Rattus norvegicus: one gene and its partners. The protein of the gene in region 2 purifies or fractionates together with the protein of the main gene of each other region. This does not show direct contact. Links are inferred from orthologs where the notes say so. Each region holds a gene or a part of one and is shown on either strand. Other genes may lie near its edges. The genes, in order: Ap1s1, Ap1b1, Ap1g2 and Ap1m2.

Region 1 (6,916 bases), on a different chromosome or scaffold from region 2:
TCCCAAACGGGGAAAAGCTGTTCTATTTAATCGTGTGAAGTGTCTGTCTCCCAGCCTTGGGGCCCCCGGAGCCTCCCTTCTCCAAATTGCTGTGAACTTACCCACATCTTGCCCTTCTGTTGTAAATACCCCTCACGGAGGAAATAGTTTTGCTAAGAAATAAAAGTGACTATTTTATTAGGACTTTGTTTTCCATTATTCACCCGTCCCCTTGGGCCTATCTGGTCCTTTCCAAGGGGCGGTGAGGGAAGCGCCAGTCTCCCTAGTCTCAGACCAAAGCCAGACTGGGTGGGAGAAAGGAGTGAAGGTGAACCTGGAAAGGGAATGTTCTAGTAAAAGGTACACGTTGCCAAGCAAGACATGAGTGTCATACCAGGGTACCTTCCTACTGACCACTGCAAGTTCTCTCCCTGACTTCCACATGCCCACCTTGGTACGCTCACCCACCCACAAAACAAATGTAATAAAAACCATAACAAAATACAACCCTACTTTTTCCACTTCCACCTTGTTCCCAGTTTTTGACCCAGGAAAGAAGGGAGTCCAACAAGAACCAGTTGTTGGGAGTGGGGACGTGGCTCAGTTGGTAGGAGTTGGGGTTGGGGAACAAAACAAACAAGAAAAGAGCCAGTTGGTTGGAATAAGCAAGCTTTTACGACTCAAAAGAAAAATGGCACCATACAAATTCTACTTGGGAATCTGGGAACCTCCCCTATCCCCAGTCATCCAGCCTTCCCTTCAAATACCCTGAATTCTTGGAAACTTGGGGAGAAGGGGCTAGCCCCCACACATCCTGCTTTTAGCCATCTCTTCTTAATTACCTCCCCCAAACAAAACTAAGTGAGGCGAATGGCTACCTTCCACACGGACTCCTCAGAAGAAAACCCATGGTGCCAGGACTCGTCCTTTCTGGGCTATGTGTAGTTACAAGCAGTGTGTAAAATTCTTTGGGGCAGGGCTACTAGACAGAGCAGAAGATACTCATTTAAACTTCCAGTTCTGGAGAAGCAGTAGATGCTTTCCCCCTTCCAGAATAACCTTTCCATAGTGCATGGGACACACTTATTATCTTATCTGTTGGGGCTGTGGCCGTGGCTCAGTTGGGCCAGTACTTGCCCTGCACTTAGGAAGGCTTTCATTCATCAGGATGTGCTGTTGCACACCTGTGATCTCAGCATCTCTGGAAGTAGAGGCAGGAAGATCAGACAATTCAAGTTTATCCTCCCATCCATATCGAGGTTAAGGTCAGCCTAGATCACATGAGACCCTGATTCAGAATGTAAAGAAATTTGAAATGCACCTGTTGGGTTGGGATATGGTTGGCACATGCTTATCTCCCAGCATCCTGAACCCAGGATATCCCAGGGACAGCAGGAACAACCCTGAATTCAGGTCACTCTGAGCTGCAAAACCTGTCTCAAAATTCAAGACCAAACAACTGAGGGCTTGTAGCTCGGTTGGTAGTCTCTGCCTCCATTGCACGAGGCCATACATTATCCTAGCCCATAAAACAAAACAATAAAAAAACCCTCCAAAAAAACAAAACGACAAAACCTGTTGTCTATCTGACATTCAGCTGGGCATCTTCTATTTTTAGTTTTTCTTCCCAAGAACAATGACCCAGCTCCCAGGAAGACATTAGCAGGCAGCTGCCCTTGACCTCAGGGTGGATGTCCGTCTTCTCCAACAAAGCCAGAGGCAAGTCAAGTCCAGAAACACTTTTTCCTTTTATTTCAGAAGAAAGGAAATAAAGGCAGCCACTTGGCCCACCCCACCCGCTTGGCTCCTGCCACACCCATAACGTGGAGAGGAGGAAGGGGGACAGGGTCAGTGTCCCAGAAAGCAGGTCCTTCCCCAACCTTCCCTTCCCTCCAAGTAGCAAGGTTAGAAAAACATTAACTGTGTGGCTCCTCCCCTGGCTCTGGCTAGACACTGAGCCCAGGAGGAAGTGGGGCCCAGGAGAAGAAAGCCCCTCCCTCCGAGGCAGAGAGGCTGCCCTGACTGGTTCTGGGGAGGGATGGAGGTAGGTTTGGGGGCAGAGGGGAGAAAAGAGCCCTGGAAACCTTTTCCCTTTAACCTGACATATTTATATATTTACAGCAATTCGGGACACAGGGAGGACGAAGGACGGCTGGGGTTGCCATTGCTTCTTCAAAGGAAGGAGAATGAAAGCCACTGGGCATCCCCATCCGGTCACATTCCCCTCCCTTCTAGCCCCTAAAGCCTTCAGTGGGAACGGACGGTGGTGGGGGAGGAAGACCTGGAGGGAGGGAATGTTTGTATGTAGGGCTGGAGCCACAGCTCCTTCTAAGTAGGTGAGGTGGCCGAGGAAAAGCGGCCGGGTCCCTCCACGAGAAGGGGTCTGGGGGAGAGGTGAGAGGAAACAGCCCCAAGTGCTGTCTCTTGTCTTGTCTTCCCCCGGTTCCACAGGGCCCCCCGCTGGCTGACGGGGCTATGCCAGGCCCATCTCCTCCAGGACACTGCGCGGCGACTCATCCTCCTGAGACAGACAGGGGTGACGCAGACACCAGGAAGGGTAGACAGGGTGGGCGAGATGACGGAATCGGAGTCAGGGGAAGAGCAGACACACACAGGGGTGGGGGGAGAGAAGCTGATATGAGCCCAAGGCTGGAGCACTGCAAGTCCTCAGGGGGTACGGGCCTCAGGACACCATTCCCAGCACCCACAGTGGCAAGGAGGGTAGAAGAGGCCAAGTTCATCATCACCCAGAGTCTAAAGCTAGGAACTGGGGGAGGAGGTGAGCAGCTTCAGAACCCATGGGTTAGAGGTATGAAGCTGGGTGGGGCGGGAGGAGCAGGGGGAACCCTGATTTCCAGGGGTAGGTAGTGCGGATGCTTGGCCCGTGCCTCTCAGAGAGGGAAGGCAGTAAGCCATTGGTGCCAGACTCCTAAGGAGAGGAAAGGTAGACTTCAGAGTGATGAGTCACTAGTGTCTAGTAACCAGGGGACACGCACGCGTCTGCCTGTGTGCATGTGTGTGTGACAGGGGATGAAGGGAGGCTGCATGGGTGGGGTGACCTCGAGTTTCATTCTGCGGTTTCTCCCCCTGCAAGGCTGACCTCCCTCGTGGACCCCACCTCTCCCCTCCTCGGAGCCAGCTCTCGCTGGCTTGCTTGTCACTGCAGAGTCCTGGTGACTCATCACCCTGCACCATGGCTCAGCAGTAGCACAGCAGAGGGCACAAGCAGGGATGAGGAGAGGGTAGGGATACCAGGCAGCAGGGAGAACTAACAGACACCCTCCAGGCAGCCCCACGTCCCCACGATGTTAGTTCCTGAGCAAAGGGGGTGTGTGCATACATGTTGTTAAAGGGGAGGATTAGGCGGGGCTGGAGAGACTGCTGCTCAGTCATGATATGACACGGATCTGCCATGGAAGCATGGAGACCCGAGTTCAAATCCCCAGCAACCCCAGAGAAGCCTGGAGTGGAGGTTTGGGTCTCTAGTTCAAGTGCTTTGTGGGGAGGGAGTTGAGACAGGTAGATCCCTGAAGCTCAATGGCCAATCAGCCTGGCTGAATGGATGAGCTCCAGCTTGAATGGGAGACTCTGGAAAAATAAGGTAGGATAACTGAGGGAGATGCCCGGTTTCAGCCACTGGCCTCTTCCCCACATGTACATACACAGACCCCCTCATGTTACAAACAGAAGTGCAAAGCAGGGGGTCAGGGCCCCAGCCTCCATCAGAGACAGAAAGGCAGTGACAGACAGAGAAGGAGGGAGAAATATATACAGACAGACACATAGATAGATACATAGATACATAGAAGACAGACAGATACATAGAGGACAGGGAGACAGACAGATAGGCAGGCAGGCAGATAGATGTAAATCAAGGAAGAAAAGGCTTATCTACTATGAACCAGTCTCCAATTCTCTAAACAACCCTTATCATCATGAAAATCATCGAGTCAAAAGAGACTAAGCCAGAATAAGGCAGTCATCTTGGGTCTTAGGAAGGGCCAGAGCTTGGAATGAAAGAGGAGACAACTGTGGTGGGCAACCGGCCCACCCACCTCTTTCCTGCTCCATGGGTTCAGGACTCAGGACAACTTAGACAGCAGGGCGTGATGGGGGCCAGACGCCACAGGGAGGGGGGCCCACTTGTCGTCGCCGGGCAGGATGTGCGAGGGGTGGGGAATCCCCTCGGACACAGTAGTCCTCCTCCTCCTCCTCCTCCTCACTGTCCCTGGCTCGTACCTCCTGCAGCAGGTCAGCCTGCTCGATAGCCTTGAGGACACTCTTCTTGGATGTGTCCTGGACGTCCCCGCCCATCAGAAACTCATCCAGGATGAAGTACGCTTTCTCAAAGTTGAAGATGATGTCCAACTCGCATACCTGGGAGAAGGGGGAGAGGGCGGAGCTGAGTACCAGGAACACCCAGCCTCCCTCCTGCATCACGCCCCTAGACAGTCTCCTGTACTCCAGATTGCCCCTGAACCCGTCCTCAAACAATCCTCCTGCCTCCACCTCTCAAATGCTGGGGCACCATTATGTGGCTCAGGGCTCTGGGCATGAAAGGCAAGCACGTTACCAACTGAAGCAGGTCCTTTGCCCCACAGTGAGTTCCTTCCGAGAGCCTTAGATCCTCCTGGGCCTCAGCCTACAGTGCTTTGGCCCTTTCCCCCAGGCTGCCCTTGAGTTCCCAATCCTCCTGCCTCAGGCTCAGTGCTAGGATTACAGGCAGAGGTCACCATGCCTGCTCCTGCTTTCACTGCCTCATCTTCTGGATCAGGAGTTAGAAGTCTGTGGTTGCTGTTGCTTTCCTCTTAAAATGCCTTAAAATATCCAATATGGCTTCTGCCGCACCCTGGGTTAGCCTCTAACCTAGGCACTCTGGGGCAGAGAACACCCTGGCCCTCGCTTTAGAAGGAGATGATGCGTCGTCAACTCCTCAGATTGATGAAGAGCAAACCAGAGAACCCCATAAGGCGTGTGGGGTGGTATAGGCTTCTCATCTTAGCTCTTGAAGACGAGATGCAGAACTGAACTATGGAATGACTTTGAGGTCAGCTTGGACAATATAGTGAGACCCTGTCTCAAAATAAAAAGTTAAAAAAAAAAAAAAAAGGCTGGGGGGACAGCTCAGTGGTCAGACACAAAGTAACAATGCCTGAGGCCTAGGTGCAACCTGAAGTGTCACAAAATCAGTCGATTAAGTCAGGCTGGGAATGCACCTTAGCTGGTTGGCTGAATGCTGGCTTGGCGGGTGTGAGTAAGAATGGCCCTCAGAACAGCTGACTGAAACAGATGCAGAGGCCCACAGCTAAACACTGGACAGAGGTCAGGACTCTTCTGGAAGAGCTGAGGGAAGGACTGAAGGCCCTGACTGAAAGGGAGCCCTCGGATACTGAGCCACCAACCAAAGAGCACACGCAGGCTGGACCGAGGCCCGTGTGTGCAGACGTGCAGCTCAGTCTCCGAGATGTGGGTCCCTCAATAACTGGAGCAGAGGCTCTCCCTAAAGCTGTAGCCTGACTGTGGAATCTGCTTCCCCAGTAGGTCTGTCTTGTCTGGCCTCAGTGGGAGAGGATACACCTAATCCTGCAAAGACTTGAAGTGCCAGGGTAGGGAGATAACAAGGGGGTCCCAACCCTCTCAGAGGAGGGGGGAGGAGGGATGGGAGGAGGGACTCTGGGTTGGGGCAGCATTTAGGCTGTAAATAAATAAATAAATAAATAAATAAATAAATAAATAAGAATGGCCCTCATAGGCTCATTTATTTCAATGCTTTGTCACCAGGGAGTGGACAGTCTGAAAGGATTGGCAGGATTAGGAAGTGTGGCCTTTTTGGATGAGGTGTGTCACTAGGGGTGGGTTTTGAGGTTTCAAAAGCTCATACCAAACCCAGAGTCAGTTAGTCTCTCTGTCTCCCTCCCCCCGCTCTGTCCCTCCCTCCCTATCTACCTACTTATGGATCAGGATGTAGCTCTCAGCTTCTGTTCTAGCTCCTGCCCACATACCACTGTGTTCCCCCCAGGATGACAATGGACTAACCCTCTGACACTATAAAACAAGCCCCCAGTTAAACACTTTCTCTTACGACAGTCGCCTTGGTCACGGTGCCTTTCACAGCCGTAGAGCAGTGGCTAAGACACTTGCTTAAACACACCGTCTTAAAAACAAAAACGGAACTGGGAGGTGGTGGTGCACACTTTTAATCCCAGCACTCGGGAGGCAGAGGCAGCCAGATCACTGTGAGTTCAAGGCCAGCCTGGTCTACAGAGTGAGATCCAGAGCAGCCAGGGCTACAGAGAAACCCGTGTCTTGAAAAAACAAACAAATAAAAAAAAATGGACAAAAAGAACACTGGGGGTGTAGTCTATGGCAGAGGGAAGTACGACAACAGGAGCATGGCCCTGTGTTCAATCCCCGGTACCAACAGTTGTGAGTAGAACCCGATCGGGCCTTAGACATCATTGACGGTGTTGCACATTGTGAAGGCAGGCCTACTCTGTACCTAAGGTCTGCAGCCTCTGTCAATCACACATCAGAGAAGTTCATTCTGAATCTATGGGAAGTTGGGGCTCTGGGTTACCACCTTGAAAAAAATCCTTTAGAGTCATCATCTATTTTTACATGCACGAGTGTTTTCCCTGCATGTATGTGTGTGTACCGCGTGCTTGCCTCGTGCCCGAGGAGCTGGGTCCCCGGAACCCATGTAGAAAAAGCTAGATACATTGTTGCTTATTGTAACCCCAGTGTGGGGGAGGGGAGACATGAAGCTCCCCAGGCTGAACCAAGGGGTTCCAGGGCAGTGCCAGACCCTGCCTCAACTAATGAACAATGCAGTAAAACAAACAAACATCTCACAAAGCAAACAAGCAAACACCAAACCAAGGCGGGGGTTGGAGGGATGGCTCGGGAGTTACGAGGACCTACTGTCCTTGAGGACCTG
Region 2 (7,483 bases):
CTTGGCTTTAGATTTCTAGCCAGCAGAACTGTAAGAAAATAAATTTCTGTAACTGCAGCAAAAAGGTTTTCTTCCATTTTTAGTTAAAAAAAAAGGGGGGTTTAAAAATGGAATAAAGTCTGTGAACTGAGGCAAAGGTAATTAGAGTTTGGAGGCATCATAAAGAGGCAGAGTGAAGGCAGAATGGGGCCAGAGTCTGACCTTAGCAGGTGCAACTGTGCTTGTTAGCACACAACAGTGAGGGGAGGGCGGTTCTTGGGAATGGAGGGGAAAAGCTGTCTGAGACCCTTTGGGGGTGGGGGAGACTTGGGCTGAGGAAGTGGATGCAGTTGTGGGGGCAATGTGCAGATTTGTTGTTTCTCTTTCCTGGAATTGCTTTAAGCAAGACAGATAATCTTGGGAAACAGGCTCTCTCACATTCTTCTCTGGGCTGAGCAAGGTCAGCTGTAATCTCATACAAATCCTGTTTTTAAAACCAAGGCACTCAATCAAAGATACTTTACCAATGACAATTTCCGGGTGTTAATATTAGCCTATGTGTGTGTGTGAGTGCGTGAGTGCGTGCGTGCGTGTGTGTGAGTGTGTGTGCGTGTGTGTATACTTATACATACATACATACACACACACATATATACATACATATATATATATTTATATGATGTCATCACTGAGCACTGAGGGAAGCTGGGTGAAGGATACATGGAATTCTTTTTTTTTTTTTTTTTTTTCTTTTTTTCGGAGCTGGGGACCGAACCCAGGGCCTTGTGGTTGCTAGGCAAGCGCTCTACCACTGAGACAAATCCCCAACCCCATACATGGCATTTTTGCTGTTGTTTTGTTTGTTTTTGAGACAAGGTCTCACTATTGTAACTTTGGAAAATTTCTATGCAGACCAGCCTGGCTTTGAACATACAGAAATCTATCTGGCTATGTGGGATTATAGGCATGTACCACCAAGTCTGGCCCCTTTTTTTTAGATTTATTTGTTTTTTATTTGAGACAGGGTTTCTCTGTGTAGCCCTGACTGTCCTGAAACTTTCCCTGTAGACCAGGCTGGCCTCAAACTTTGAGATCCACCTGGGATTAAGGTGTACACCACTACCACCTGCATGATTTATTTATTTTATGTTCGTATGAACATATACCATGTGCATGTGTGGTCAGAGGAGGGCTTTAGGTCCGCTGGGACTGGAGTTACAGATGGCTGTGAGCTGCCGTGTGGGTGCTGGGAACCAAACCCAGTTGTCTGGAAGAGCAGCCAGTGTTCTTGACTGCTGAACCATCTCTTCAGCCCAGCATATGGGATTCTATTTTGTCCATTTTTAACAATTTGCAGTAACTCTGCAAAGGCGGGTAGATTTTTGCTTGGTTCTCAGTTTTCCAGGTCAACCAAGGTGACAGGGATTCGGTTGTTAGAGTAGGATGCACAATGCTCTGAGTTAGATTGCCAGCATTACATAAACCAGACATGGTAGTGCGTTACTGTGATCTGAACACTGGGACTGGCTTGGGTTACATAACAAGATCCTGTCTCAAAAACAATAACAAACACACAAATAATAAAATAAAAAAGTCAGACATATCACATCTAGGAGGATAACCAAGTGTTAAAAAGTGATTGTCTCGGGGCTGGGGATTTAGCTCAGTGGTAGAGCGCTTACCTAGGAATCGCAAGGCCCTGGGTTCGGTCCCCAGCTCCGAAAAAAAAAAAAACCAAAAAAAAAAAAAAAAAAAAAAAGTGATTGTCTCAGGAGCCTACCTACATGGGGTTTTTTTGGTCTTCTTTTCTCTTACTAACATATTTTTTCTCTGCAATGCAGATATTATTGGTTTAATAAAAATGTTAGAATAGAGGTTTTATAATGTCTTAAAGGGGATGAACACAAGTTATCTATTAGAAAGAGAAAATTAACAAGACCAAAGTCAGGAATGAAATGGCTGTGTCAGTTGAGGTCCCGGCCAAAGGGACTAGCTATACTCCCTTGCATGAAAATCTTTTTTTTTTTTTTTGAGCTGAGGACCGAACCCAGGGCCTTTTGCTTGCTAGGCAAGCGCTCTACCACTGAGCTAAATCCCCAACCCCCACTGAGCTAAATCCCCAACCCCGCATGAAAAGTCTTAGATGTAGCATATGTTTTGCCTCCTAGTACAATGAATTTTACCAAGGACAGCAGAAAAAGTCTAACTTTTTCCTAGCAGAAAGGCGCAGTCTGGCTGGCCTCTGATCAGATTTATAGCTCCGGTTTTGACTTTCCACTTTGATGTTGGCCTCAGTTTCCCCATCTGTAACTTAGAAAGAGTTGGACTTCCAAGAGTCTTCCAAGACCCTTTCGATCCCATGGTGCTTGAGAGGGAGCCTGAACAAGGATTTTGAGCAAGGACACCCCATATTGCCTTTGCCGCCTGGCGGGCCCAGGCCCTCAATCCTCACAAAGGCCGGCTCTGCCGAGGCTCCGCCCTTCCCACACAGGCTCCGCCCAACAGGTCTCCAGCCCCTCCCGCCGGGTTGCACCCTTGACCCCGCCCCCGGGGTGTGCGTCCACCGGAAGTTCCGCGCGCTGGCTGCTCACTTCCGCTCGGCAGGTGACAGCGGTGGGGCTTGGAGCGGCCGGCTGCTGCTGCTGCGACGCACCGGCGGAGAGGGAGGAGGAGGCTGCGGACATTTTGCTGCTGAAGCGAGCCGAGCCGCGGCACCAGGAGCCGTTTGGATTTGTGGGTGAGGAAAAAGGAAACCCAGCGAGATAGGTGGAAAACTGAAGGGGTTCGAGGTGAGGGGTCTGCGAGGTCAGAGGTCACGGAGAGGACGCTACGCTGGAGAGGTACGAGCTGCGAGTGGGCGAAAGTGAAAGGGCTGCGTGTTCATTCATTCACGGCGGCTTGGCGGCCCGGCGTCAACCGGTCATCTCAGGTCCGCAGTCCTGTTTGAAGAGGACGGCTGGAGAGACTCCTGGACTTAGGCCTCTCCTGCGCTCTGCTTTTCCCCTCCTTGGCCAACCTGAGGTTTCCTCGTTCAGGGCCTTATCTCTTGGCCACCGCCCCCAGAATGGGGCAAAAATCTAGAAATGGCCTTATGCCGCCAGCCCCTGGTCCTTTGGATCATCAGGGACACGTTGACAGAATGGAGACACTTGTACTAGTGCTAACACAACAGTGTCTGTCAGTGGTTATCCAGTGACTTCGAAGCTATGTGCTAAGCACTTTGTGTACTGAGCTCACAGCAGCCCCTGTAAGGTAGCTACCATTGCTTTACCCTTTACTCCTGAGGACACAGAGACACAGGAGGTTAAATCACACATGGAAGGTCATTCGAATAGTAGAGGCAAAGCCAGACTTCCTATGCAGGTCTCCAGAACCGTAAAAGCGAAGGGACAAAGGCACCTGGAGCTGGTTTGGGGTCTCAGAGTGCTTTCATATATTGTCGCCATGATATTGTTTGGATTGATGTCAGGATGCCGCCTTCTCTACTCTTGTCTGGTCTGATGTTCATGAGGAGCGTTTGGTTCACTTTCGTTAGGAGGCTGTCGGTCGCAGGTTGTTGCTGTCAGGGCAAGAGGCTGAAGGTTTTCCTGACTCTTGGGAACTATAAGACACCAAATGGGCTATTCATGACACTAATATTCAGACTTTCCCTTCATCCCGTTTGCGCTTTTTTTTTTTCCTTTTGCAGTAAAGAGGGGGACAACAGGACCTCTTAGGGGATCATTTGGTCCTCGGTTCAGAGGGGCTTTGACCTGTCAGGGTGCTGGGAATGAGTAGTCTGCCTGGGAGATGGGAAGGTCACTTGGTGGCTGAAGGGTGAGGTTCTCCTCCTTTGTAGACATTTCCTTGCTCGGCTTGCCTTAGTTTCCCTGACAGCAACACAAAAGAGACTTACAGTCTTCCTACTTCCTCTTGAGTGCAGGGAACTGTGATAAGCCTGTGAAGGTTTCCTTGTGCTTTTGAAAAAAGTCGCAAGCCAAAATGTTTAATTAATTACCTCTTCTTTTTTCCTTTATTGGATTTGTTTAAAATTTACATCTCAAATGTTATCCCTGTTCCAGGTTTCCCCTCCAGAAACCAGCTATCTCCCTCTGCTCCCCACCCCAACCCCCTTTTTTTTTTAAAGCCAGTCTCACTCTGGCCCAGTCTGGCCAGGATCTCGTTGTGTCTTGAATTCATAGCACCCCTCTTGTCTCAGTCTCCCAAGTTCTAGGATTGATTACAGAACTGAACTACCACACCCAGCTTTTCTGTCCTGTCCTGTCTGTCTGTCTGTCAGTCATGAGCTCAGTTCCATTGAATTCACAGAAACTTAATAGTGTCACCTTATCCTATCCTTCCAAGGGATAATTGAAGACAGAGCAACTCTTAGGGACATAAACAGAGCCCTGGCACTCTGTCCTGAATCCAGCCCACCAGACTCCTTTGCCTCTCTTAGGAACTGTCAAGAGGGCTTAGCTGATCCCAGAGAATCAGACTTTCAGTGTCTCTGTAGAGATCATCTGATGAGTGTGGGTTGACTGAAGCTTCACACCGGGTAGTTTGAGGGGCTCAGAGGGCCAGTGGAATGAGCACTCTGACTCCTGCCAGTCAGCTGCTGGCTCTAGCCCCAGGTCAGCAGCTTCCTAGCTGTGTGACCTGGATAACTCATTTCAACTGGGTTTCTAGCCTAATAAAATATGTAGATAAAGTGGTAGAGCACTTCCCTGGCGTTTGCAAAGCTGGTTCCTGTTGCCAGCATCAAGAGAAATAAGGGTTTTGGGGAGACATGGTGGTCCATGACTAACCCCAGCCAGCACTTGTGAAGCTGAGGTGGGAAGAGGCCCATGTGATTGATCTACATGGTGTGTTCCAACCATGGCTACATAAAAAGACCTTGTCTCGGAATAGTCATAAGAAGACACTGGGAGGCCTCCCGTCTGTAGGTGTTGCATGAGGATATCTTGCAGAGCATATTACTATTGACCTGAAGCCATGGTACCTGTTGGGGCCTGCGTCTGGAAAAGGCTGTCTGCCCCGTGAGGTTACTGCTTTCTTCTCCAGTTAGACCTTTAAATGCTTTGAATACCACTCCTGCTCTCCTCACTTCTCAAAAAGAGTTTGAGAACAGTTTATTGTGGGTCCAGCTGGGGCTGGGGCTGGACTTTTCATCTTCTCATGTCTGACTGCTCACTTCCCCCAAAGCCTGCAGCGCTGACAGGAAGCAGGCATGGTTTGGGTAGGCTTTATAGTCTGCTGTGCTTCAGACGGTTGAGGGGTACTTGGTCCTTGAAGGCACTTCTGTTTCTCAACAGGTCTTTTTTCCTAAGATATGCTGCTGAGATTTTCATAACCAGAAGGGATTTATTTGCTCCTTCCTTCCTTCCTTCCTTCCCTCCTTCCTTCCTTCCTTTCTTTCTTTCCTGATTTTTTTATCAGTTTACATAGAGAGAAAAAAAATACTGTAGGGAGAAAATTGGGGAAATTAAAAAAAAAATTACTACTTAGCTAGATTTCGTGGCGCATGATTTTAACTTAAGTTAATCCCAGTACTTGGGAGGCAGAAGCAAGCAGATCTGTGAGCTTGAAGCCAGCTTAGTCTACAGAATGAATTCCAGGACAGTCAGAGCTGCACAGAGAAACCCTGTCTCAAAAACCAAAACCAATAAATAAAAAAATATTAAAAAAAATCCTCCTTGGAAATCTGTCAGTGGTTCCTCCTCTCCCTCAGTGGAAGCTAACTTTTCAGCATAGCCTCCAAGCCTTCCAGGCTCTGACTTCTGCTGGTTCTCCATCTTCAGCTTCCCATTCTACTCCTTGGCCTTCTGGTCATATTAGACACTGCCACCTCTGCAAGCTGCTCCTGTGCTCCGTCTTCCATCTGTGCTCGTCCGTCTGCACAGCCCACTCCTGCTACTCTCGCCCGGGCTACTCTTATGGCCTCCTTTGCTGGACTGCTGCCTGGTGCTTGCCATTTGCTCATCATCCCCGTCTTGCAGAGGCCTGAGCTGGCTGCCCCTCTCGTGTCCTGTGGCAGTGATCACCGTGAATGTAATTGTCTGCCTGCTTGGCTGCCTTCTTAGTAAAGATCTCTTAATCCTTAGCAAGCATTGTCTGAACTGTGCGCCTTCAGCGTCTAGCGAGGTACATGGCGCACGGGCAATGTTTGAAAAGTGGGGAAAGATCAAATGGATGGATAGCCCATGGCGTCGTGAGGGTTCCGGGTGATGGTCTGTGCGTCCTCATGCCATCGCAGTGGGATAGGGGAAGTGTGGCTGTTAGAGGGACTTACGTGCTTCAAGCGTCCATTGCTGTTCCCAGTCAGCAGAGTGCCTGAGCCGAGTTCTGGGAGCAGGGAGATGGCAAACCTTCAGGAGTGTTGGCTGATGGTTACCGAAAGCGGGCTGGATTCCGCGTGTGCTGACCTGTTTTATCTTTGTTAACCTCTATTTCCAGGATGCATCCTGTTAGCTAGTGGGGCCAGAGCTTGACTGTGGTTCCAGGTTTGAGGTTCCCTTGTGTCTTCAACCTTGGGCTGGACCTCTAATAGGATGATCTCCAACTATTTTAAGGGTTAGTGTAGCTGGTTGACTACGGAAGGTCCAGAGTCCTCTAGTTAGGATACCATTGTCACTCTGATCTTCCCAGGTTCTGATCTGATCCTCTTAGTACATCGGAAGATGACAGAATTGAGAGGATGATAGAATGGGGAGGTCATACTTCAACATCTCTTATTTTACCTTCTGTATGTGTGTGTGCATGGTAAAAGACATCTCCCAGGGGGTTGGGGATTTAGCTCAGTGGTAGAGCGCTTGCCTAGGAAGCGCAAGGCCCTGGGTTCGATCCCCAGCTCCAAAAAAAAGAACCAAAAAAAAAAAAAAAAAAAAGACATCTCCCAGGACCTGGCGCTCTCCTTCTGCCACGGGAGCTCAGTTCCAGGGATTGCACGCAGGTTTGTCAGCCTTAGCAACGAGTGTCTCTGCCCACGGGGCTCCTTCTCTTGTGTTTTATTTTTTAGTACTAGGGGATAAACCTTGGCCTTACACACCAAGGAAGTAGACCACCCCCACCTATATTCCCAGTTCTCACAAGCTTTTTCAAAAGTTATGTTATGTATATGTAAGCTCCCTGCGCACACGTGTGCATGGCATGTGAGAGTTTGGTGCCCTTGGAGAGCAGAGTAGACAACAGGTCTCCTAGAACTAGAGTTACAAACAGTTGTGAGCTGCCATGTGGATATTGAGAACCGAACCTGGGTCCTCTGCAAGAGCAGCAAATGCCTTTAATCCACAGAGCTGTCTCTCCAAGACCCCTTAAAAACCTTTAATTACATTTATTTATTTGTGTGGGTTCAGTGACATCGTTGCCATAGCCTGTGAGAACCAGAAGACAACTTTTGGGAGTGGGTTCTCTTCCACCACTATCAGGGTCCCCCTCAGGGCTCAACTTAGGCTATTGGTCAAAGACTGTTGCCCACAGAGCCATCTCACTGACCTCAACAGCTTTAGAGCCCGTGCTCTGGTGT
Region 3 (7,462 bases), on a different chromosome or scaffold from region 2:
TCCTAAGGACTAGGTTGGGAGAGGGATGTGTGCCTGGGGACTTTGAAGACTAGTAGGCATGGCAAAAGGACATCTCTCATGGGACAGGAGCCCCTTCTTACTTGTTGTCTCCCTGGAGCCGGGTGCTGAGTTTCATGAGAGCCGTGATAGCATAGCCTCGAGTGGCTGGCAGGGACATGTGGGACTGGAGCACCTTCTCCAGTAGTGCCAGCACGTCCTCTTCTTCCACCTTCAGGTGTGGGCAACACGTCATGTCTGTCCTGATGAATCCTCCCCAGGGTCTCGCTCACACCTCAGGTCTCACCTGAAAAGGCTCCGTCTCCTCACAGTTACCTTCCAGCAGGAGGTCTCCATACTCGCCAATACACCAGGCCGCCACCTGAACCAGTGGTTGCTGGATGGGAGATGAGACACTGAGGGGCTGGTTGGGTGCGGGGTGGGGTCCTCTCCTCTAGACCCAACAAATCCCCTTTACTGCAATGCAAAGAAGGTGGGGTTGGCAGGGTAGGGAGGAGACTTTTAAGTTTAATAGGCTCCATCTTAGCATTTTTGGCTACTACTGCCCTCTGGTGGGCAAGCAACAAAACTACATAGCGTGATCACAGGACGGAGGCCTGAGAAGAAAACAGAGATGGTTTCTACCTACTCTACTCAAGTTGACAGAGGGAGTTATAGGTATCTTAGGCTGTCACCGTTAATCCACTTGGCACTGAAAGTAATAATAGAAGTGACTACTCTATGTGCCAACTTTTGGTCTCGAAGACAGCCTGGGAGGTAGGCATTTCTAGAACGTTGAGGACATGGAGCTTAGAGGGATTACAATTATTTATCTGGAGATGTAGCCAGTAGTCACCAGGGGCAGGACAGAAGCTTAAATAAAAGGTAGGCTTGGTCCTTGGTTCAATTTTCTATGCTTGTGGGGGAAAGCATTCAATTTCTAGAATTGAGAAGGCTGGTCAGCCGGACCTGGGAAGACAGGAATGATACCTGGGAGATATCCTCTGCTAACGCACTGTAGAGGCGGCGCACGGAGTAGGTATGCAGCTCCTCGGCCTCCCCAATCAGCTGGGTCAAGTTGGCCACTGCATCATCCCTCACATGGGTGCCTGCCTGGAGAGGGGTGGATGCAGCCAAGTCAGGGCTCTGCTGACTGCTGCCCAATTCCCTGACTACCCGCCTCTTACCGTGGTCAGCACGTGCAGAATGGTGTCTATGTGCCACCGCTTGCTGGGAGCAAACCTAGGGGATGTGGCTCATCAGCGCTGACACTGTCCCTTCCCAGGCCACACCCTCTGACTCCCAGTCACATGTCACTTACCTCTCTGCAGCCAACAGAATGCCTGAGGCACAGTCAGCCCGAAGATCAGGGGGGCAGGACTCCAGAAAGGCCTGCAGCTCCTGCATCATAGCTCGCACATTGGAGCTATTCACCAGGGCCAGGCTCAGCTCCAGGGCCCGCCTGGCGAGAGAAAGGCATCCGTGCAGATGGCTGAGCTCACCCTGTTCTGGCTTCCCTATTCCCAGATGCTCTTGAGCTGGTTTGAGTTTCGGCCACTGGGTGCTGTGTCCTCTGCCCTGTCCCCTTCTCCCTTCTCCTTCTGCTTACCTGCTAAGGGAGGCGTCCTTTTCCTGTAGACACTCTACCACGGTGGACCGGTGACGTTGCACAGCACTGTGGTCAGACTGTACCAGCTGCAGCAACGATGTCAGAGCTACATACCTGGTCAGGGTAAGAGAGGCCACATCACATGGGCGTACCAGCCTTGATAACCCGTGTTGCCTCCAGGATACCTAAGGGTTAGGTGGATCCGAAGGGAGGAATGCAGAGGGCCAGGTGGATAGTGGTACAATCTAGCCCCATACTGGCTGTTACCTGATATTCTTGTCATTGTTGAGCAAGAAACGACCGAGAATGTTAACAGCTAGAACCTGTGGGAGGAAGAAGGTGGAGACAGTAAGGGAAGAAGCCACTTGTTCAGTGGGATCTCCTCCATGATGGGGGTTAGGGAAAAGCCAGGGACCAGGACTAGCTGAGTAGGTGGGGCCACAGCAGAAGAGCACATGACTGTGTAGTGGTACCCGGAGGCCAGCTGCAGAGTGGATGGCCATGATGGTCAGTACTGTCTCCAACAGGACTGCGTTGCCTGCATTTCGGCTGGTGTCTGTGTTGGTGGCTACCTGTGCAGATGGGGGAGAGGTGCATCTGTACAGGGTTCCAGTGAATGCATGGACTTCGTCGGTTGGGCGGGGACAGAAAGGCCTCTTCGTGGTGAATGGTCCTCTGGGGAGTATGCAGGCCTGATGGACCCTAAGAAACCACAAGGCCTAAGGCGTGCCTCCCACCTGGGCCAGCAAGTCGTTCATGGTCTCGCTGCTTTCTTCATGGTTCCGTCCGAGGATCCGAAGTAGGCGGAGTATCTGGACCTGAGATTGGATCAGAGTGGTTCACAGGGTAGGGTCGTGGGCCCGAGGCAAAAAGACCTAACAGTGTAGACAACAAATACTGCAAGGGGCCCAACTCTTTCTCACCTCTACAGCTCCCTTAGATGAGCTGGGAGGAGGTCAGAGTTACATAGAGTTGGGGGAGTTTAAAACCGAAGGGTTTTTTTCTCTCTCTCTGTAGCCCTGGCTGTCCTGGAACTCACTCTGTGAACCCGGCCCACTACACACTCATGGGCCTCATTTAATCCACCTGCCTCGGCCACCATACTGGGCTTTGGAATAGGCCTTTTAATGGTTACCAAACTGGACTTTCTGGTAGCCACCTTTCATTTCCCCAGTCTTAGGACAACTAGGGCAATCCTGAGTTCACTACCTTCTTATTCAAGACATGGACTGTGACCAAACGGGAAGTGACCACTGGCCAAGGTCTTCCTGAGAAGCCTTCTCTGTTCTGGGAATACGGCAAGTAAAGCTCAGCCTACCTGCAAGAAGGGGTCGCTGACTCCAGAGATACTGTGCTCTGTGGAGTATCCTGTCGTCACCAGAGTCCGGAGGATCTGTACCAGCTGGGGCACTACCTGGAAGACGGGCACATCCAGCCTTGTCTGAGTTCTGCCTGTCTGTCTCCTCTCAACCATCAGTCCCAGTTGAGCACCCACCATCCACCTCTGCCTGCCCCACGGCCTGCCCCTTCACTAGCCCACCTTGCGAAAGTGTCTGAGGGCTGCAGGGTTTCTTTCACAGAGCTCCGTGATCAGCGTGATGGTGCCCAGCAGGGTGCCTGGGGTCAGGGCGGGGCAGTGAATGGTGGGCCAGGCCATGGGACAGTCTACTACGCGTGTGTTTGTGTGTGTGCACCGCCCTTATCCGATGAGCTGCTCTTCCTGATTTGCTTTTCACGTCATCTATTCATAGCCAGACCAGAAGTGGACAGTGGAGATCCCTGGACCCTTACCATGATGGCGCTCACGAAGCAGTTTGGTACAGGGTGGGAGGAAGATGTTGGAGAGCTCGGGGTCCTTCCGGATCATGTGCACTGCAGCCAAGATAGCCTGCAGAGGTCGAGGGCCTCAGAAAGGGCCACCACGTTAGAGGCCATGCCTCTTCCACGGCAGACTGAGAGCACGTTCTGGAGAGGCAAACGCCCACATCTCACCTTCTTACGCACATAGGGGCTGGGTTGCTGAAACAGCTTTTCCACCTCGGTGGCTAGGTCCCGGCACATCTCAGCAGAGCCCATGGTACTCAGAGTACACAGGGCCAGGCCTTGAACTGGCTGAATCCCTTGGCTCAGGTCACTGTAAGGTTGGAAGGATGGTCAGTCAAATCTGAGCAAACCAGTTCGTCGGCGCAGTACCGATAGCAGGCAGCCCCTCTGGGATTTTGCGGTTCCCACTCTCCCAGCGCCCTGATTTCAAGGGCCCCGGGACCCTCTCACTTCTTGATGCTGTTGGTAATGAGCAGATGGGCATCGTGTCTCTCATCCAATAGGAGCATGGCCCCAAGGTAGCCCACCCTCTTGTCTGTGAATCTGGGGGAGGCGATCAGTTTCAGGCACTCCATCTATAGGGAATGAGGCAGACCAGGAGGAGCAGGGTGAAACCACAGGCACTAACTTCCCCGCTACAACCTCCTTTAGGCCAGATTAACGTGAGGAATCATATTTCATCTCTCTGTAACCAGAGGCTTAAGTGTTGATCCAGATGACAGCAGGGTGGTTTCAGGGACCTGTGTAGGAGTAGAAGCTGGAAGAGGATGGGGAGGTGCTGAACGGGGCTGGCCAAGAAATCACTAGTAGGGTGATGGATAAAAGGCTCAGAAGCCAAAGGATTTAACTGGGCAGGGTGAGGCATGCCTGAAAACCCCCACACTGAAACGGAGGCAGGGTTTTCTCGAGTTCTAGGTCAATCGGGACTATACAGAACCTGTTTCGGAAACAAAAAATCTGGCGGAAAAAAAACACAGCGGGGGGTACAAATACAAAGGGGCGCAATGGCCATCTTCCTCAAAATTTGGGGCCATCCCAGGCCAGTACCTGTCCAAAGTGGGCGGGGTAGCCCAACATATGGACGTAGAGAAGTTTGGCTAGCTGGCGATGTCTCTGCAGGGGATCCCCATCGCGGAAGGAGGCCCGAATTTGGGCGCACTCCTTCTGGATCACCTCCCGTTCCTGGGCCTGCGTCTTGGCCCCACGAATCTCTTCGATTAGGTCCTGAAGTTTCAACGAAGGCACCATCCTGGGGACAGAGCCCGGGAGTTGGAAAGGCTTAATTTAACACGTTCTAGCCGGTTGGACAGAATTGCCCTGAGCCAAGATCTCTAAAGGATTGCGTTCCACCGCCGACCTAAAACCGTGTCCACTTTTACCTCCCACCTGGACCCGAGAGCCACTCTCCCGCCTCGCAAGGACATCCCCACTACGCATGCGTCCTTGCTCCACCCTGTGCCTGTTTCTACTGAGCCTGCGCTTCAGATCAGTCTATTTCTCACTCTCCTTCCCCGGCCAGATTCTCTTCTCCAGTTTTTCTCCTGGTTTTCTGCGCTATTGCCTTTGCGAGATTTCTCGCCCCCATTCCCACAGAAGGCTCCCCAGTCCCAAGCTCACCTGGCTCCGGTGTCAGCTTTGCTCTTCTACCCCCTACCCAGGACTTCCTGGTATGGGACAGAGCTGGGGTTGGTGCGCTGCTCGGGCCCTTCCCTCTTCCCCGCCTCTACCACGGGACCCGCCCCTCTAGGGCCTCCTTGCTGAGCCTACTTGAGATTTCTGACCTCTGGCCTCTTTGGTACTTTGATAAAGGAACCTAGAATTGTTACAGGACTATGGCTCCCCCAGGGGCCTCATTTTTCATCCGCCCCATCAGGTGACACTTGGGTCAGAAGCCATTGCACCCCAAAGGAGATGACAGTCCCCCCCTTTTTGGAACTTTTTTATTAATATACTTTTTTTTGTTAAATTTCTTTGTATTTTTTTTTTCCTGCAAGACTTGATGTTGTCGGCACTGTTGTATAACGTCAATCCCAAATTCCATGAAATAGAAATCAGAAGTAAAGATCGAGAAGGAAGGAAGGAAGGAAGGCGGGAGGAAGGCAGGCCAGGGAGTAAACAGAGGTTGACTAGAAAAATAAGAAGGTTGTGTGGTGGGCATTCCCAGGCAAGGCCGTTCCTTGAGGAGGGGATTGGCAGGCCGCTTGCCTCTGCCTCATGCAGGGAAGGAGAGTCCCCCGGGCTTCTACAGTTCCCTCTTGTAGAGCTTTCTGTCCCCAGAGGATAAGCTAGTGACGATGGATCAAGCGTATCTCAGACAGGCTCTTCACCCACCTCTCATCTGGGGATGACACCCACCTCTGCCCTGCCTGAAAGTGTGGGAGACAGCGAGCGAGTTCCTCAGATCCCCTTTATTTTCCCACCTCACAGGAGTCTATGTGAGGGCTTGGGAACTAGACTTGTGGCAGCATTTGCTGCCCTTCAGTCCTCGTCTTCCGTGTGCTCCCCACAACCGCCAGAGCTGGAGTGGGGTCCCTGCTTGCTGCAGTGCCTCTGACCCTGGGCAGAAATGTCTTCTTCAGGCCCCTTAGGAATTTAATCAAAGGCCACAAGTGAGTCCAGACCAACCAAATAAATTTTCAGGGGGCGGAGAAGGGTAGAGAGGTGAGTGGCAGAGTCTGAGAGGGGCGGGCTTGGTGTACCAGATGGTTTTCGTTGCTTTGCCCATTGCTCTTGGCTTGGCGTGCCATCCTTGGGGGTTGGGAGAGGGACTGGCTGAGGAGGACAGGAGAGGGAGCATGGGGAGCTTCCTGTTGTTCGCTCCCCTTTTCTCCCTCAGGGAAGGATTGAATTAGGCAAGAACTTAGGTAGGTTCTGGGAGGTAAGAGTGGAGGGTACTCTCCCTGAAGCTTTCCATGGGGGCCAGTGAGCCCCAAGTGGCTCAGCCAGTGCCTAGTCTGGCCACTCAGTCACTTCATAAGTGTTCTCTTTCTCCCTTCCACTCAGATTCCAGGAGATTCCTTAGGACACCAAACCCCTACCCTTGGTGAAGTTTTGATTCAAATAAAAGGTTGGGGAGGACATGGGGGGCAATGGTCTGACTTAGATTTGTGTATCTCAGAGGAGAGAGCAACTCTGAGAGAGAACAGCCCTTCATATGTAAACAATCTAGAGAAAGAGGGGTTGGGGTGGGAAAGAAAACCAGGAAGACCAGAGACAGGTCCAGAATAAATGAGACCATCTCAAAGAATAGAGGGAAGGAAGAAGCAAGAGACAAAAAGAAAGGGGCCTGGGAGAAAGGAAAGGGGAAAACACAGGTAGGTGGAGGAGGAGAGAAGAGAAGGCAGGTCAAAGGTCAGAGTGGGTGCAGAGGCAGGCAACCAAGCCGGAGGAAGCCAGGATGTTGCCTCAGGTGAGGAGCTGGGAGAACAGGAACGCCAGGCTGAGATCCAGCAAGGCCACAGCTCCTACCACCAGGGGGTTGGCAGCTCCCTAGAGAGACAGAGGGCGAAGTGAAGTCAGTCCGGGAAGGCAAGTGTAGGTCCCACCTCCCTGCCCTGGCTTTATTGGCAAAGCCGAAAGGTCCCAGACCCCCCCCCCCCCCACACACACACACAGGTAAGAGTAGAGGAGCTGATTTCAGACTGTGAAGAGCCTCGCTTCTCTGCAGAGCCCTGCCCTCACACTCTGAAGATAGAAGGCACTGCCTCCACCCACCACCACCACCACCGCTCTCCCCATCCCTCAGCGTATCATGTGGGCAAGGCAGAAGGTGCCTGGCCTTAGCAGCAGACATTGGCAGCAGCAGCCAGTACTGCAGTAAGGCAGAGGGAGGAAGGGGTGAGGGAGGATGTGGTTGCTAGGAGATGGGAGAAGGCCTGGAATCCAATCAGAGCAGAGGGTTCTGGAGAAACTCTCCACCTCTCTCGATTTTCTGTCTGCACAGCCTCCCCCTAACCCCCAGGAGAGGGAGGGAGAGTGAGGGTTGGGAGGAACAATTTTTTCCTATTTCTGGGCACCAAAGAGAGAAAGTCT
Region 4 (7,524 bases), on a different chromosome or scaffold from region 2:
GGTCTGGAGAGATGGCTCAGTGGTTAGGAGCACTGATTGCTCTTCCAGAGGTCATGAGTTCAATTCCCAGCAACCACATGGTGGCTCACAACCATCTGTAATGAGATCTGATGCCCTCTTCTGGTGTGTCTGAAGACAGCAACAGTGCACTCATATACATGAAATAAATGAATAAAAAAAAAAAAAAAGATGCTTGCTGTTCTTGCAGAGGACCCTGGTTCAGTTCCCAGCACCCACATAGCTGTTCAGAATCTCCTGCAGAAACTCCAGACCCAAGGAATCCAATGCCTTCTCTGGCTTCTGCAGGTACTATACACACACACACACACACACACACACACACACACACACACAAGAAAAAAATAAATAAAACTTTTGGTTTCGGTTGGGGATTTAGCTCAGCAGTAGAGCGCTTGCCTAGCAAACGCAAGGCCCTGGGTTCGGTCCCCAGCTCCAAAAAAAAGAAAAAAAAAAGAAAAAAGAAAAAGAAAAAGAAAAAAAACAAAACAAAAAAACTTTTGGTTTCCTCTGGCCTCCTTGGGCATGTGGTGCACAAACATACATTCAGGCACATTCATACACATAAATTGCAAAAAATTTTAAAATTATCTTGCTGCTGGGCACTGTGGTACATGTCTTAATTTCAGCACCTGGAAGTGAGTTCAGGGATAGCCTGGTTTCTACACCAAGTTCTAAGCCAGCCAGGACTACAAAGTGAGACACTGCCCACCAAAAAAAGAAAGAAAAATATCATTCATTCATATCTATCTATCTATCTATCTATCTATCTATCTATCTATCTATCTATCTATCCAGTGATTTTTCAACCTTCCTAATGCTACAACCCATTAATAAAGTTTCTCCTGTTGTGGTGACCCCAACCATAAAATTATTTCATCGCTACTTCATAACTGTAATTTTGCTACTGTTATGAATTGAACACAAACATCTGCTATGTGACCTCTGTGGGAGGGCCAGTCGACCCCCAGAGGGGTCGCAGCCCCCGGGTTGAGAAACACTGATTAAAGTGTTTCATGTATACCTGAAACCACAAATACATTTCTTCAAGTCTAGAATACTTCACACACATTCCCAAAGATTCCGACTTCTGGAGCACTTCCAGTGCCAAGCACACGGATGCACACCTGCATCTCCTGGGGAGGAAGACGTCCTCCCTCAGCATCTGAAGCTCGCTCTGCCTGAACCCCTCGGCTTAGCTCTGTTCACACCTCAAAGCCTCTTTGTCCACTATGTTCTATTGGGGACACTTTCTCTACAGTACTTCATTCTTTTCCTTCTCCCCTACTTACAATAGCACCCTGTAACGTTCCAGGCACAGAGGCAAGGGATTAGACCTGTATGTAGCTCAGCTGTGGGTGAGAGGTTGCGAGGAGGCTTTAATGGGCATGGTCAGAAGCCGGCATCTGACAGGGGCGAGCTTAACCAGCAGACAAGCAGACCAGCTAGCCAATGAGAGGCCAGACCAGCTAGCTAATGAGAGGCCAGGACCTACCTCCACAGTCTTGTACAGAAAGGAGTACACCAGAGAGGCATTGGCGTTCTTCAGTGTGGTGGCCACCACTGGTGCAGTAAGGTTAAGGAAAATGCGCCATTTTTGAGGGAGTGGAGTTACATGTCCCCTGTTATGCCCCCCGCCCCCACCCCATTTCTACTACCCCTTACCCCAGGCACAACCTGAGTTAAGGCACATGAACCGGGCAAATCCTGCTCTTAGGTCACCGCCCTCTGAATCAGGTTCCTGGCGCTCCTTCCCACAATGAGGATGCAGTAGAGATTGCTGTGTTTGATCCACAAGAAGTGCACTCGGCCGTGGCTCAGCAGCGGGGCCAGCATACCCTCCTCCTCCCGTTGCATAAGCAGAGGCATGAAGTGGTCAATCTCCGTCATGGGCACATCGCCTTTGTAGTTTCGGCTAATCAGAGGCTAAGGGGAGAGAGACAGGACTAAGTCACCACCAGCGCACAGACCTAGGGCCTTAGGATGTCTAATTCTCTTCTAACTTTCTTTTATGCCCCCCACACTGGCCTCTTTTGTTTTATGGAGGGGATGATACCTCAGGTAGCATAGGCTGCCCTTGACACCAGATGTCACAGAGGATGACCTTGAACTCTTTTTTTTTTTTTTTTTTTTTTTTGGTTCTTTTTTTTCCGGAGCTGGGGACCGAACCCAGGGCCTTGCGCTTCCTAGGTAAGCGCTCTACCACTGAGCTAAATCCCCAGCCCCGACCTTGAACTCTTGATCCCCCTGCTTCCATCCTGGCGAGAGCTAATGTTACAAACCCTCTAGGAGTAAATTACCTCCCCGACTGTCTTTCCTTTTCTGATTAATTTAGGCACCTTTTCTACGAAGCCCCAGCTGGTCTCAACTTCTCAATCCTCCTGCCTCGGTTTCTAGAGTGCTGGGGTCACAGTGTTTGTCACCATATCACACTCTGTGTGCAATTCAGTGAGGGGCCTAGCTAGGACTCTACCTCTGTACGCCTCGGTTTTCATGCCTGTTATGTAGGTACCTGACACCCACAGCTAAAAGTGTCCTGGGTGCATACTGAACACCATCAACATTCTGCCAGTACGTGTTATGCTGGGGATGGGCTTGGGGGGTAGAGGCGGAAGTACAAGGCCATCCTCGGCTACATAGTAAGTGCAAAGCCAACCTAAACTACATGAGGTTCTGACAAAAAAATAAATAAATGAAAAATAAGGAACATGGGCTCAGCAGTAGAGGACCATCCTACTGCGTATGAGGTCCTTCCGACATCAATCAGTGGACGTGCTGGGCCTTGTCTTTCTTACCAAGGGCCTGTCGTCAGAGTTAGCAGGGAAGCTTGAGGCAAAAGGATAGCAGGTCCAAAGCCTAGCAAAGCTCCAGAGTGAATCTGAAGCCAGCCTGGGGAATTCAACCAGATACCATTTCAAATTTAAACCGCACAGGAGGGACCGCAAGAGAACTCAGGGGTTCTCAGTGGTTGAAGGGTCTCGCTGCCGAGCCTGGTGGCCAGAGGTCCAAGCCACACACGTGGGGATAGGACAGAACAGACTCTCACACAGGCAGAGCAAATAAGTGTAATTTTTAAATAGTATGAGGAGGATTAAGATGTAATTTAGTTGGGCTGGAGGGATGGTTCAGTGGTTAAGATCACCAACTGCTCTTCCAGAGGTCCTGAGTTCAAATCCCAGCAACCACATGGTGGCACACAGTCATCTGTATTGGGATCTGGTGTGTCTACAGACAGTTAGGTATACATTAAATAAATAAATAAATAAATAAATAAATAAATAAATAAATAAATAAAATCTTTAAGACGTAATTTAGTGGCAGTATGCTGGCTTAGCTTGGGTTCCGCCCCCACCACTGAGGAGGAAGAGGAGGAAGAACCTTTCCTGAGGAATTCAGTGCCTGCCTCAGCCTTGAGGTAGGTGTCTTTGGGTCCATTTTCCAGACTGAAGAAGCTGAGGTTTAAAACTATGTCCACAAAAAGCTGAGAGGTGGACCTGAACCTCTTCCCCTCCTGGGCCGTTCTTGTTCAAGGTTATTTATTTCTTTGTCTTGCTATTGTAGCCCAGGCTGGCCTTGCCCTCCTGAGCTCAGGTCATCTCTCTGACTCAGCTTCCACAGTAGCTAGAGTGACAGGTGCATGGTAAAACACCTGGCCTCCTTGTCCTTCTTGGATCTTTTTACAGGCACTATTTTTTGTGTGTATGGAGTGTGTGCATGTGCGTGTGTGTCTGTGTCTGTGTGTTTGTGTGTGTCTGTGTGTCTGTGTGTTTGTGTGTGTCTGTGTGGGTGTGGTCAGAGGACAACTTTGTAGGTTGTCTCCATTCCCCTTTACTTGGGTTTGGGTCAGGTTACCAGACTTACACAGCCAGTGTCTGGGCTTGTTGAGCCTGTTTTGGTTTTGAGGCAGTGAGTGTCACGTAGCTCAGGCCCGATTCAAACTCCCTTGATTTCCTGATCCCTCTGCCTCCACCTCCCAAGAGCTGGAATTGGGACTGTTTATGCAGTGCACTGGGATCACACCTAGGTCTGTGTGCTAGGCCAGCTGGCTGACAACTGAGGCACACGACCTTGTGTCATTATGTTACAGGGATCTCGTTTTCATCTCTACTGCTGTCATTGTCACAGGAGAAGCGACAGTCGACTTGCAAGGATAGGGGTATGGCCTTCTACTCCAGAGTTACACTTGGCCCATTTATTGAACTCCGGAGTTGCAGAAGGGCTGTGCTCACTGGTTCAGGGCGCTCAGATGGTGGATATCTTTCTTATTCTCATTTTTACAAACAGGAGAAATGACGCTCAGAGAGGTGAAACCCCTTGCCACAGATGCCGGCTGAAGAGGGCGGGTCCCCAGCTCCCGGTCCTGTGCCCTGGGCCCTCGTGCTCGCCCGTCGAACCACGATCCCTTGCCCTCTGCCTCACCTTGCCCTTGACGTCCAGAATGAAGACTGCCGAGGCCGACATGGTGGCGCCCGGTGAAGCTAGGAGGCGAGAGCGAGCTGCAGAGGCGGCAGCGCTGCTGCTTCCTTCTTCCTGCGGAAGCGCCTTCGCCCAGGTGAGCCGCCAGGTGAGCGCGTCTTAAAGGGGAGGCCGCCAGGTGAATGCGTCTTAAAGGGGAGGCCGCCAGGTGAGCGGCACGGTCGGCAGCAAATGCCAAGGCTGCTCCAAGAGCTAGGAAAGGCAGAACAGAGGTGCGACTGCAGCCCTAACCCACGTTTCTTTGGGGATCAGGAATGCCTGGGTGGATGGTGAAACTCCAGGACATTTATCCATTGATCCTTCAACTCACCCACCGCCCCCCTCGCCCACCGTACGTCTATTCATTCATCCTCTTATCCGCCCACCCCGTCTCCACCCACACTCCCATTCCAGTCAGCTATCCATCCCTCACCCCCTCCCACATACATATACACATTCACATCAACATCTACTAACCCACCCACGCATCCACCCACCCACCAGGGCATCCGTCTGTTCATGTGTCTGTATAGCTTGTTCAATCACCTACACCTACAGTATCAACAGGACTTTGCCTGTTTTCTATGTGTGACCCGGTGCCCACCACTAGGTGTTCAGTAATGTAATCCTTCTCACACTATACATTTTACTACTTTCTGTTATAGTTGTTGTTGTTGTTATTGATTGACTGGTTTGGGTTTTTTTTTTTTTTCTTCAAAACAGGGTTTCCCTGTGTATCCGTAGCTGTCCTGGAACTCACTCTGTAGACCAGGCTGGCTGCCTGTGTCTGCTGGGATTAAAGGCGCCTGTGTAATTTTTTGTTTGTTTGTTTTTGCTTATCGTTTGTGTTGTGTTGTGTTGTTAATTCTAGAAGAGTTCATTATGTGGTCCAGACCGGCACAGCCTTACAAGTTCTGTGATTACAGTCATGAGCCACCAGGCCTGACTTTGTTTTTTGTTTTCTAATTTCATTCATTTTTTTTAAAGCCCAAGCTATCCTTAAATTCAAGATCGTTCTGTCTCTACTTTCCCGTTGCTGGGATACCGTTTTGCGGAGGGTAGTGTGTGTGTTGGGGGGAACAACAAAAAAACCAAAACCACTCCAAACCTTAACCAAGCCTAAGCATAGCGCTCCGCTGTGGAAGAAACGTTTCCTGAGAGGCCGCCAGGGGGCGACAAAGCCCGCTTGGGCATCGTGGCTGCCGCCGACCTTTATCAGGCCCAGAGTCCAGATGGAGCTATGAGAATCGCCCACGGGAATTGTCTTAAAGCAGAGATGGGGCCTGTATGAAGAGCTTACGAGCCGAGCACAGTCAGTCTGTCTCAGGACCACACAGCCAGGTTAACAAGCCACTCTTCCATTATTCTGGTTGTTTTTACGGCCCTAGGGGGATTGAATGCCCACCGTTGCCAGTGCCAGGCTAGCACTGTGCCCCTGGTTATACCCCCAGCCCTTAATGTTTTTGACCGGGGCCTCCATGTATAGGACAGACTAACCTTAAATTCCCAACTCTTCCACCTAACCCTTACTAGTAGTTGTGTAATCTTCACGCTTGTCATAAATACCTTCCAAGAAGAAACGCTACAGATAACCACACCTACACCCTTTTTAAAGACCCGTCTAGCCCAAGCCTTCTACAGCACAGGAGCATCTTGAACTCCTGAACGGTGGAACCCAGGACTTTGGGTATGCTAGGCAAACTCTACCCGCTAAACTAAGCCATCATTTTCTGGATAACCGTTTGAGGGAACCAGAGAGCTGCTGATAGCTTCGCTTGGCAAGATAAGGAGCCCGAAGGTTAGCTCCAAGAGGGTACAGTCATCCAACGGTTTTGTTTGTCTGCTTTTGTTATTAGTGTTATTATATAGTTCCAGACAGCCTGGAAACCATTATCTGCCTCGGTGCTGGGGAATCACAGGAATCCACAATTATGCTCCGTTTTTGTGGTGCTGGGGCTAGAACCCAAGCAATCTTGCGTGCTAGGCCCATGATCTACCAACTGAGCTCCAGCCCCAAGCTTTTAGCTTGGCTCCACTCACAAGTTCATAGGAGAGGGATCCTTCCTGATTATCTGCAGCCTGGGCTGGGCTCACCCCTGTTGGGGGTGGGGTGGGCAGATCCCTGGGACTTTTAATCCCAGCACTCTCCAGGTAGAAGCAGGCAGATCTCTATAGTCAGTTCCAGGTCAGCCAGGGCTGACTGTCGCCTTGACTAAAAACCAAACACAACTCCAAATAAGGTGGGGGGTAGGGGTGGTCGGTGAAATGGCTCAAAGGTGCTTCCTTCTGCACCTGGGTCTAGTCTCCAGGTGCTCCATGACCAATGGGAGAGACCGACTCCTGGAGGTCATCCTCTGACCTCTACACGTACACACGAAAAATAAATTAAGTATCATTTTAAAGAAAGGTGGCTGGCTCCTGAGGAGGGAGTGTGTCTGGAGTTGTCCTCGGGCCTCTGGACTTGAATGTGCACAGCACAAAACCAGCAAAACTCTCTTGGGACCTGAGATCCATTCACATGGTAAATGGAACCCAGAAGCCTGGGCCCGGCGCCCTGGAATCTGAAACTCAAGGCCTATTTAGCTAAAAAATTCATGAGACCAAGAGCCTTAGTAGGGGCAGAGAACAGACTAGCACTGTCTTGTCCCAGCCAGCCCAGCCCAGTCTGGCCTAGCCCAACCCACTCTGGCTCCATAGCTGCCACCAATCCCCAGAAGTGGTGGCTTTGTCCCAGTTCGTCCTAAATATCTTGTCCTTGCCCTTCCCCTCCCCATGTCCCACCTCAGCTTCTAATTATCAGCCTCCTTCCTTCTCCTCCCTCTAAATCTGTCTAACTCACTGATCACCCATGGCCCACCCTCCCTCTCACACCTATAGCTTCCAAACCATCAGTCAGATTCCTGCTGACCACAAGGGCTCTACACTTAGTGATTTCCCTCCTCTTCCTGGCTCTGACCCCTCATTGCAAAACACTCACCAAATTTGCTCTCTTTGTGTCAGTCTTTCTCTGTGCAGAGGTCCCTCTGACTTCCCATTTTATGTCATGGACAC

The links.
Region 1: the proteins of Ap1b1 (region 2) and Ap1s1 fractionate together in Homo sapiens (co-fractionation; 6 studies listed by BioGRID and IntAct, with this or other methods). This does not show direct contact. The link is inferred for Rattus norvegicus from reciprocal best matches to the Homo sapiens genes AP1B1 and AP1S1.
Region 3: the proteins of Ap1b1 (region 2) and Ap1g2 fractionate together in Homo sapiens (co-fractionation; 3 studies listed by BioGRID and IntAct, with this or other methods). This does not show direct contact. The link is inferred for Rattus norvegicus from reciprocal best matches to the Homo sapiens genes AP1B1 and AP1G2.
Region 4: the proteins of Ap1b1 (region 2) and Ap1m2 purify together in Homo sapiens (affinity purification with mass spectrometry; 3 studies listed by BioGRID and IntAct, counting the BioPlex papers as one, with this or other methods). This does not show direct contact. The link is inferred for Rattus norvegicus from reciprocal best matches to the Homo sapiens genes AP1B1 and AP1M2.

Annotation. Positions count from the first base shown.
Region 1 is NC_086030.1:25,267,271-25,274,186, reverse strand, and holds the end of Ap1s1 (adaptor-related protein complex 1, sigma 1 subunit), read right to left. Parts: intron 4,357-6,916; coding exon 4,219-4,356; coding exon of another isoform or gene 4,072-4,218; exon of another isoform or gene 2,501-4,071; coding exon 2,453-2,500; 3' UTR 1,704-2,452; downstream 1-1,703. UniProt on the Homo sapiens protein: Subunit of clathrin-associated adaptor protein complex 1 that plays a role in protein sorting in the late-Golgi/trans-Golgi network (TGN) and/or endosomes.
Region 2 is NC_086032.1:84,090,991-84,098,473, forward strand, and holds the start of Ap1b1 (AP-1 complex subunit beta-1), read left to right. Parts: upstream 1-2,581; 5' UTR 2,582-2,716; exon of another isoform or gene 2,717-2,819; intron 2,820-7,483. UniProt on the Homo sapiens protein: Subunit of clathrin-associated adaptor protein complex 1 that plays a role in protein sorting in the late-Golgi/trans-Golgi network (TGN) and/or endosomes.
Region 3 is NC_086033.1:32,544,180-32,551,641, forward strand, and holds the start of Ap1g2 (adaptor related protein complex 1 subunit gamma 2), read right to left. Parts: upstream 5,102-7,462; 5' UTR 5,048-5,101; intron 4,680-5,047; 5' UTR 4,679-4,679; coding exon 4,478-4,678; intron 4,006-4,477; coding exon 3,881-4,005; intron 3,741-3,880; coding exon 3,599-3,740; intron 3,495-3,598; coding exon 3,398-3,494; intron 3,224-3,397; coding exon 3,147-3,223; intron 3,021-3,146; coding exon 2,925-3,020; intron 2,425-2,924; coding exon 2,344-2,424; intron 2,179-2,343; coding exon 2,080-2,178; intron 1,930-2,079; coding exon 1,874-1,929; intron 1,721-1,873; coding exon 1,607-1,720; intron 1,460-1,606; coding exon 1,319-1,459; intron 1,240-1,318; coding exon 1,185-1,239; intron 1,111-1,184; coding exon 988-1,110; intron 475-987; coding exon of another isoform or gene 472-474; exon of another isoform or gene 395-471; coding exon 305-394; intron 230-304; coding exon 102-229; intron 1-101. Other genes in the region: Jph4 (junctophilin-4), read right to left, coding at 6,836-6,919.
Region 4 is NC_086026.1:28,128,131-28,135,654, forward strand, and holds the start of Ap1m2 (AP-1 complex subunit mu-2), read right to left. Parts: upstream 4,513-7,524; 5' UTR 4,480-4,512; coding exon 4,438-4,479; intron 1,945-4,437; coding exon 1,788-1,944; intron 1,582-1,787; coding exon 1,514-1,581; intron 1-1,513. UniProt on the Homo sapiens protein: Subunit of clathrin-associated adaptor protein complex 1 that plays a role in protein sorting in the trans-Golgi network (TGN) and endosomes.